2 linked regions of the Oryza sativa Japonica Group genome follow. The protein of the gene in region 1 binds, or shares a complex with, the protein of each later gene. Links are inferred from orthologs where the notes say so. Each region holds a gene or a part of one and is shown on either strand. Other genes may lie near its edges. The genes, in order: sister chromatid cohesion 1 protein 3 and sister chromatid cohesion 1 protein 1.

What was found.
Region 2: sister chromatid cohesion 1 protein 3 (region 1) and sister chromatid cohesion 1 protein 1 share a complex: the UniProt entries of both Arabidopsis thaliana proteins name them as parts of the cohesin complex. The link is inferred for Oryza sativa Japonica Group from reciprocal best matches to the Arabidopsis thaliana genes SYN3 and SYN1.

What each region holds. Positions count from the first base shown.
Region 1 is NC_089042.1:10,215,935-10,220,269, reverse strand, and holds the start of sister chromatid cohesion 1 protein 3, read right to left. Parts: upstream 2,873-4,335; 5' UTR 2,703-2,872; coding exon 2,579-2,702; intron 1,227-2,578; coding exon 965-1,226; intron 888-964; coding exon 841-887; intron 760-840; coding exon 728-759; intron 648-727; coding exon 580-647; intron 513-579; coding exon 121-512; intron 1-120. UniProt on the Arabidopsis thaliana protein: May be involved in sister chromatid cohesion during mitosis.
Region 2 is NC_089039.1:29,073,320-29,077,859, reverse strand, and holds the start of sister chromatid cohesion 1 protein 1, read right to left. Parts: upstream 2,845-4,540; 5' UTR 2,710-2,844; coding exon 2,657-2,709; intron 2,467-2,656; coding exon 2,398-2,466; intron 2,300-2,397; coding exon 2,241-2,299; intron 2,146-2,240; coding exon 2,101-2,145; intron 2,015-2,100; coding exon 1,995-2,014; intron 1,887-1,994; coding exon 1,810-1,886; intron 613-1,809; coding exon 516-612; intron 359-515; coding exon 277-358; intron 198-276; coding exon 119-197; intron 10-118; coding exon 1-9. UniProt on the Arabidopsis thaliana protein: Involved in chromosome condensation, pairing and segregation during meiosis. Responsible for cohesion between replicated sister chromatids.

The sequences.
Region 1 (4,335 bases):
CCACATAAGTAATGCTGGTGGAATTGCAATGTAGTCTTATTTCTATTAGGTCTTATGAAAAAATGAAGGCAGAAAACAAAACTGGAAAGAACAAGATGAGTCAACAAGCAAAATACTAACCAATATCCATTGGTATAACATCTTCTATATTGTCATATGTGGTGCTTGTACTTCCTCGTGCATTGGGAATGGATGTCCCAGATAATCCACCTTGACCAGGGGATATAGTTCGTTCCAGTGCCGGAGGGGTGATATTCTTGGACACAAATGGTGAAGATTCCTCAGTCACATCCATGGGATCATTGTTTACCTCATCAATATCTGGCAAGTTAAGTTCAGGGCCCTCAAATGGTGCTTCACGCATTATTTCAGGTAAATCTGGTGCTTTATCTGCCTGATTTATGTTACTGGTGTTCACTGCCTCCGAGTTGTTGCCTTGGGAAGGATCTACGGAAATTTCCTCATCCATATTGTCACTTGGCCCAAAATCGATGTGAAATGGAGGCAATCTCCTGATAAGCAAAGCGGACATGAGTCCACCAAAATAGAAATTAGAAGGAAAAAAAACATGACACGTACTCTTCGTCAGTTGGTTCAGGTCCCATGTGTGAAGATTGTCCAGGAGCTGATAGCTCTACTCTAGCATCCTACACAATTTATAAGCACAAATATTAAAAAACATGCAAACTAAACAAGCCTGCAAAAAGCGCAAGTCAGTGAGGAATACCTCATCAAGATCAATCATCAGATAGTCTCCTTCTGCAGCACCAAAATGAAATCATTAAGCATCCGCATTGGAATGATAATAATACATATATTGACTAATTGAACTTCGTATACCAGCCAGGGTGATCTGGTCCAGACTCTTCCGATGATTATCTGGCGTACTGTCAGAAAGTTAACACAATAATATTAGTTGAGGTTGTATGACGCGGAGAAAATATATGAGAAGAAAAGTACTCACTCTATCAGACGAATTGCATCATCTAGGTTTATGTCATCAAGACGGAATGTATCAGGCAATGTGATGGTGTCAAAAGGCGCATGATCCGCATGAAGGGGCAGATCTACTTGTACAGAAGCGAAGGCGGTTCTGATTGTGCTTAGCATCCGGTTACAGTCATGGAAGAGGTAGTTTACCTTCCATGAATAAATGCGAACTAGACCTAGAAGAAGATGCCCTGACAACCTCAGAGCAATTGGAACTTCAGGGAACATGATAAATTCTGAAAAAATAAAACTCATGCATTAGAAGACATGGCATTAGGTTGCAGAGTAAAGCATAGGGAAAATTCAATGTATATGAGAAAATTGTTCAATACTTAACTAAGGAAAATATGTAACCTATTTTTCTCAAAAATGCGGGAGGACTGAACTTCATTTCTTTAAGAAGAAAATAGATAGAAAAAGAGGAGGTTAAACTGACAAACACACCCAAGAACACGCTCACGTGCACAACACCTAAGGGCGACACATGACCTCACTAAGCAAACACAAACTAATTGCCAAGGGTAAGCGACCTGCAGAAAAATGTGACCTATTCAGCATGCCATTATAATACAAGTTCTTGCAAAGCACAGTTCGAAGTTGAAATAAAAAAAATTGTCACACTTTCCTCCCAAAGAGAATAAAAAAAACTTCCCATAGAGTATAGACATCTATGCCCAAATATGCAATATTAATCCAGTTGTTTTACTTCCAGTCAAAAAACATGTTTTGTTCTAATAAAATTCCATCAGTAAGCTTCCTAAACATAAGGCTTATCTACTTTGTTCTTGAGTTTGCAAGGTTAAATATGTAAAGTTAATCACAGAATAAAGTAAAAACTGTTACATAATGTACTAAAAGAACAATGCAAGCACAACAAGCCAGTTTATTTGTCAATGTTCTATGATTTGACTGGATAACATATAAACTTATTTGTGTAATTCATATAAGTAGAACAAACATATATGAATTACTCTTCAAATAGAGTGGCTCAAGTAGGCAGTGTTCCACCGCAAGTGATTATACTGTACTGGGAGGTAAAAAATTGGGTTTGGTCGTTCTTTTTTTTTTCTTCCTTCTGGATATGCAAATGCTGTCATTCTTGAAATGTTTAGCATCCAAATAGGGCCTGCAAAAATCCACCCAAAAGTCTCCGGTGCACACCCCACCACAACCTCCCATAACTAAAAGACCAAATTTTGTTGTATCTTTTGTCATTAATGAATAATCATGCCACTAGAACAATCATTTACACGAAATTCTAACTGATAACCAGATAAATACTGCGAACCCCTAGCAAAATGCTCTAAAAAAAACTATCCAAACCTTCTTCCTTCCTGTCCCAAATTGCAGAATGCAGATTGGGATCCAAATCTCTGTACCATCACTTGACCCCATTGCTAACCCCAAAACATTTTTCACTCACAACTCCGGAACAAATCCCAGTTGCACGGAGGAACCAAAAAAAAAAAAAAGCTTATCCTTTCTACCCCCGCCGCCGCTGAAAGGCGCCGCCTTTCTACCCGCGCAGCAACAACAAAGGGGAAAAGAAAGAGCGCGTCTTTGGGAGAGAGGGGAGGGGAGGGCTTACCGGCGTAGGAGGGGATGTCGATGCCGTCGATCTGCGGCTTCTTGATCTTGCGCTCGAGGTGGGCGGCGATCCACACCGTGCCCAGTGGGCTCTTCCGCGCAAGGATCGTGTGCGAGTAGAACATCGCGGCGGCGTCGGCTGCCTCCTCCCTCCTCCGTCTCCTCGGGGTTGCTCCTGCGGCGGCGGCGGTGGCGGTGGTGGTGGCGGCGCACGGAGAGGGAGGGGAGGGGGATGAGATGAGATGAGATTTGGGGGGGGAAAAATAGAAGTTTTGGATGAGAAGGAGTTTTTGGGAAGGGGAGTGAAGCGGGAAGCCGCTTCGTATGTGGAGTCTTTTGGCGCGCGGATTTCGGGAGCAGCGGGCGGGGTGGTAGGGTGGCTGACAGGTGGGCCCTAGCAGGTGGTTGGTTTTGGAATGTGGGGGAGTTATTTTCGTGGATGTTTTGCTTGTAGAATACTAGAATTTGAGGCTTTTACATGCCGAACGAATTTGCTGCGGTTGTTTCCCCCCATTTTACCGCTGTGGCGTGCATCAAATTACCCTTTCTAGCTATCCCCGCAAAAGAGAAAAGGAAAAGTCTATACATACTACTCCCTCCATTTCACAATGTAAGACTTTCTAGCATTGCTCACATACATATAAATGTTAATGAATCTAAACACATATGTCTAGATCCATTAACATCTAAATGAATGTGGGTAATGCTAGAAAGCCTTACATTGTGAAACGGATGAAGTAAATTTTATCTTACTAACAGTCTAACACTATGTCTCATGCTGTGAGTATATCTAGAATTTCTATAACTTCCATCTATTTAAATTAGATGGTTGATATTATTGTTTGAGCAGCATTGCTGTAGAGAAAATTACTCTTTCTATTTTCTAATAAACTAGTACTATGATGATTTCGTTCGCCGGATCACACATAGTTCGATGTTTGATGACCGTTCATTTTGTTTTTGGACATTATAATTTATTATCCACACGGGATTTTAGTTTTTACCATTTTTCCCTAAAAAAATTAGTTAATCTCACCTCTAACGCCTAATGTCTTGTGCCTTTATATCTTTGTAGATCTAATAGCGTAGAAAAATCTTACCTGAACAGCAATAGAAGAGGAAAAATAAAAGCATGAGTCTTCATTCACAGTGAAACAAGATGCAATTTGTACCCTTCCGTCCAAAAGTCTTAAACATATTTTTCCTAACGAGATGTGCATATCTATAGCCTCCATGTAACCTAGATTTAAATGAAGATGTTGTCTTATTATTTTGTTCCAAAAGTTTTAAGCATATTTTTTTCTAATGAGATGTGCATATTTATAGCCTTCATGTATCCTAGACTTAAATAAAGATGTTGTCTTATTATTTTGTAGTGCTGAATTATTGGAACTCAAGCAATTATCTTAATACTCATTGGTTATATGCATACATAGGAGTAATCCTTAGTGTTTGTTATATGCAAGATGAGTTAATTTTTCATTAATCCCATTTAAAAAGTAATATGCCCTTAGGCTTTTGGATTGAGAGAGTACAAGTGAGATTGATTAGTTGCTCATAGGTTAGATTGATTTTTTTAAGGAAAAAAAAGGAGAAATTCGGTGTACATCCCATAGAGCTTCACCAACTTATGCCCAATATAGCTTCTAATGCCTAAATTTTATGTTTTTCATAAGAAAAAAAATTGACTTCTACAGTTCCCTAATTAACTTCCCATGAAATATCTTTTCAGTCCTAGTCGCTCTCCACTAGTAGGGG
Region 2 (4,540 bases), on another chromosome or scaffold:
ATGTCGAATCTGGTGACATTGTAACATTGCTCAATGAATAATTGTACTGGCCAAAATAAGGAACAAGAAGTGCAAAAAATGAATGGTAGAATAAGAGAAGAATAAAATTTTGCTTCACCTCTCAAAACGATTGAACACATCAGTCTCTCCAAGCCCAGACCCGAAATTATCAGCCAGGGTGATATTTTCTGCATCAGCTGAGATAACATATTTCAGTCAGAAAGTACACCTCTTAAGCAACCACAAAGAGTAATTCATAAGAAAAGAAATGAAAACCTTGGTGATGATTCTCAGCGCGCGAGAAGTCATCATCGTCTAGGTTGACATTAATGTATTGGTCATCCAAATCCTCCAAACGCTGCACATGCATGACGGATTTCAGAGGAATAGAGACAATCTGGCAAAAGTCAGGAGACTGAAAGCAAGACTATCTCGTGGTTATTGCTCATAACTTAATGCCATCTTTCAATGCATACAATCAGACACCACCGAAATATACATATTACAGGGATTACCATTCCCCGGAACCTTGTAGTATCAGCCTCTGAGAAAAGCATGGGCTGCTCCACATCCATATCCATGATATTCTCTGGCAGTGTTACTGCTTCATACCTGCATGAAGCCCCAAGTTTAGATGAGCAAACCATTACTGTTTTACTCTTGGTACAAAATATCATTCTCCATCCACCAACTTATACCCACTCTATGCTATTTACAAAAGTAAGTTGAAAAGACCCTTGGGATACAATCATTCAGAGGAACTATCCAGGACTCCAAGAGGGTTAAACTCATTGCAACAGTACAGGTATCAACATCACGTGAACATTGCAGTAACTATCGAACATAGTTCCGAAGGGATCAAGGGGATGATGGCACAGCCACATGGTTACATATCAGATGCAGGCCACAATGGAAGGAAATGGTACACCCACAAGAGTCAGTCCTTCGAGCATGATACAAGATTAAGAAATGTTTGCCTCCGGTTCCCAAAGGTGATGGAATTCCCTAGACTCTAAGATAGCAACATTTCTCAAGTACCAGACGGCCCTCAGACCTGCTCCCTTGGCACCAGTAACTGACACCCAAGAAAAAGTCAAATGTTCATCCCCATAAAGCATGTATCGCTCACTGACAATGCCTGCCTAACTGCCTAATGCCCTTCCAGTTTTTTTTTCTTGAATATGCAAGAGAGTTGTATATCATTTCATTAAGAGAGGAGGAAACACTGTGGGGAAGCAAAAGCCCTTCATCACCCTACAAATGTAGAGGACCTACATATACTGGAACAACATACAGACAAATTTATGCTGCCAGGAAACACAGATCATTTGTAGAATAGTACTCCTGCATAATACAGACATCGGCTGCTACCAAAGTCAGCAAGACAACAAGAGGCAAGTAACAGCAGGGTCCCATGAACCGCCAATAGACAACAGGTAGAACAGAACAATCAGTCATATGACAACATCAGGTACATCTGAAAACATAACAATGTACTATGCTGCAAGGAGATAGTATCATCATAAAATCAACATTACACAGATGCAGCATGTTCTAATCAGAACCAAGTAAGCTGATGACATATCAAAACTTGCAACTGTGTCAAATGACGAGTCCATCAGATTAGCATCGGATGGTGAAAATCACACACAAACTCACAATCCCTGGCAGCAGGGAAACAAAAGCAAACTCCCCTCGGTCACCAACATAATAGCATGTTCTTCAATCTTCCCTCGAACCCAAAACCGTGCACAGAACATCTAGAAACTTCTAGTCCTAGAAGGTCATGGAAACAAAGAGGGCACTTACTTGGCTTGGGTTTTGCCCTTGGGAAGTACGGTGGGGTCTGCGACTGGCTTGACCCGCCATGCCTCGTTGATCTCAATCTGTGTGAGGAGTTAGTACAAGCGTAATCTGAACCATGTTAGCATAGACAGGCAAATGGATCAAGGAGGAGGCACCAAAATTAGGTGAAAATCGAACTCGAATTTTACCAGAAACCGAGACACATCATCTGCGAAGAAGATCTCACACAGTTTGAGTCTATAACGAATCCAAAAAAAATGGAAACAAAAGAGAAGCAATCAGGGAGCAACTCACCATACAGAGCCTTCACCTTCCTCTCGTACACGATCGCCACACCACCTACTCACACTCCCACGACGCAAGCACCCACATCAGAAAATATCACCAAACAAATGCGATCGGAACTATGGAGACAACAAGCAAACTGGACTCACCCATGAGAATTCCGGAGAGCCTTAGTGCCATGGGTACCGACGGGTTCAAAATCTCCTCACTAACCCAAAAACCACACGCACAAAATCCCCCCAAAAAAAACCGTCAAGTTCGAAACGAAGAAATCAGAGACAACTGGATTCGGACTAATTCGCTCACCAGATTTTGATGATGTCGAGCTTGTCAAGCCGCTTCCGGTTGATCTTCGAGTGAAGCGTCGCCGCCATCCTGCGAAAAAAAAAAGCGGAGTAATCAGCGGCCTAATCAACTCCAACCAAGTGGCGAACATTCGGATTTCGGAGCGGAACGAGCAGAGAAATCGCAGAAAACAATATAGAACGGAGCACCGCAGAACGGCGCATGAGAAGAGAAGCCGAAAGGACGCGATCGAGAGGAGCGGAGAGCGAAGCAAACCCACCATATCTGGCCGAGCGGAGCCTTCCGCGCGAGGAGCTGGTGCGAGTAGAACATTCTCGATCGTGAGGAGGGAGGGAATGGATGAGCGAGTGAGAGTGGAGGCGCTGCGCCGCTGCGGCGGCGGAGAGAGCAGGTGAGAGGTGGAGTGGGGTTTTTGCGATGGTTGCGTGGGGTGGGAGTTCAGACCTCGGAGAGAGGAAGAAGGGAGGGAGGTTTGTGGGGGAAGAAAGACATCAGGGGGGCAGATCGGTGAAATGTTTTGCGCGTAAAGGGTAGTCTCGGTAATCCACCGCGCCGGAGCCACTCATGGGCCAAGGCCTTCCGGGGCCAAAATAATTTTTCACTATTGTCTCCCCGAATAAGTCCATTAACCGTACCCCGTCTTCACTCGAGTTTAATTGGCATTCCTAAAACACAATACCAAAATCCTTTTACCCTTCATCCTGTCAAAACCGTCCAAATCAAATACCATGATAGTATGAAAGACTTGTTTCGCTCACGTGACATCCTAGTCAGCAAGAAATATTAAAAAAACATGAGGAGTCCACATGTAAGTGAGAAGAAAAATATGTGAGCCCACATATCAGTGCTCACTTCTTTCTCTTCTCTTTTTCCCCAAGGAATAAGTTCACTTTGGGTCCCTCTATTTGTCGCCTAATCCGATTTTTGTCCCTTGACCGCAAAACCGGATATGACCTGTCCCTCAACTTACGAAAACCGGGCAAACGAGGTCGCTCGGCGGTTTTGATAGCGGTTTTGGCTGACGTGGCGCCTACGTGGCTAATTTAACTCGGTCTTCATCTGACATGGCACTGACGTGGCGCTTACGTGGCAATTCGATTCGGAAAAATAATAAAGTCTGTGGGACCCATATGTCATTTTCACACATAAAATAATTATAAAAAATAGTGGAACCCACGTGGACCCCACGTGTCATACTCACCTCCTCATCTTCTTCCTCCCTCTCCATCTCCCCTCTCTCCATCTCTCTCCTCTCCTCTCCAGCCTCTAGGCACCATGGCTCACGGGGTCACGGGGAGGTCCGGCGGTGGCGGCCGGCAACGCCACAGCCGCCGGCAGCGGCGAGCTCCACCTCTCGGCGCAGCCGTGCAGCCGCGCGCGTTTCTGACCCCACGCGCGCGTGGCTGTTTGACGGCGTGGGCGGCACGGATGGATTCATGGATCTAATCCCGCGCCAGCACGTAGCCCCCCTCCCCCCCCCCCCCCCCCGCGACGCGACGGCGACAGCTGGCGATGTTGCTCTCACGCCTCAGCTCGCTGGGGTTTTGAGTTTTGACAACCGGAATGAACTTTGTTCCAATGCAGTTCTTGCTAATAATGCCTTTACCTACTCACCTCTCGTCAGTAACCGGTAATTGCTAATTGCTCACAGATCATCACTTAGCTGCGGATGGCCATCATTAATTCTCAGTGTAGCACTATGTTTTTCGCAAGTCGCAATGCAACAGTGTATGAACTCTCGAAGCCTGTAAATTACTCCCATGCATGCATGGATCGCTTGTCGATCGATTAATTAATTAAAAGGTCTTGTGCTGCATCATCTACATCATGGCTAGGCCGTAGTACATTGTGTAAGCACAGGACTTGTACAGTTTCTTTCATGCAGTCAGTAGCATTTACACGCGTACATTAGTACGAGTACTCAATTGACGGTAGCTCGTATGATTCAGCCGATGAGTCAGATGGAATCGATCGCCTAATCTTGAGTTCTTGACCCCTCTTCGACGCCGATGATCGATCGAGGCATCGAAATGACTCCTCACATGGCTAGCTAGCTTAATTGCGACGAAACTGAAATGATATTATTTGATGCTACTGCTAATTTTCTCTCTCGATGCAAATTAATGCTGGCAGTTGAAGATGT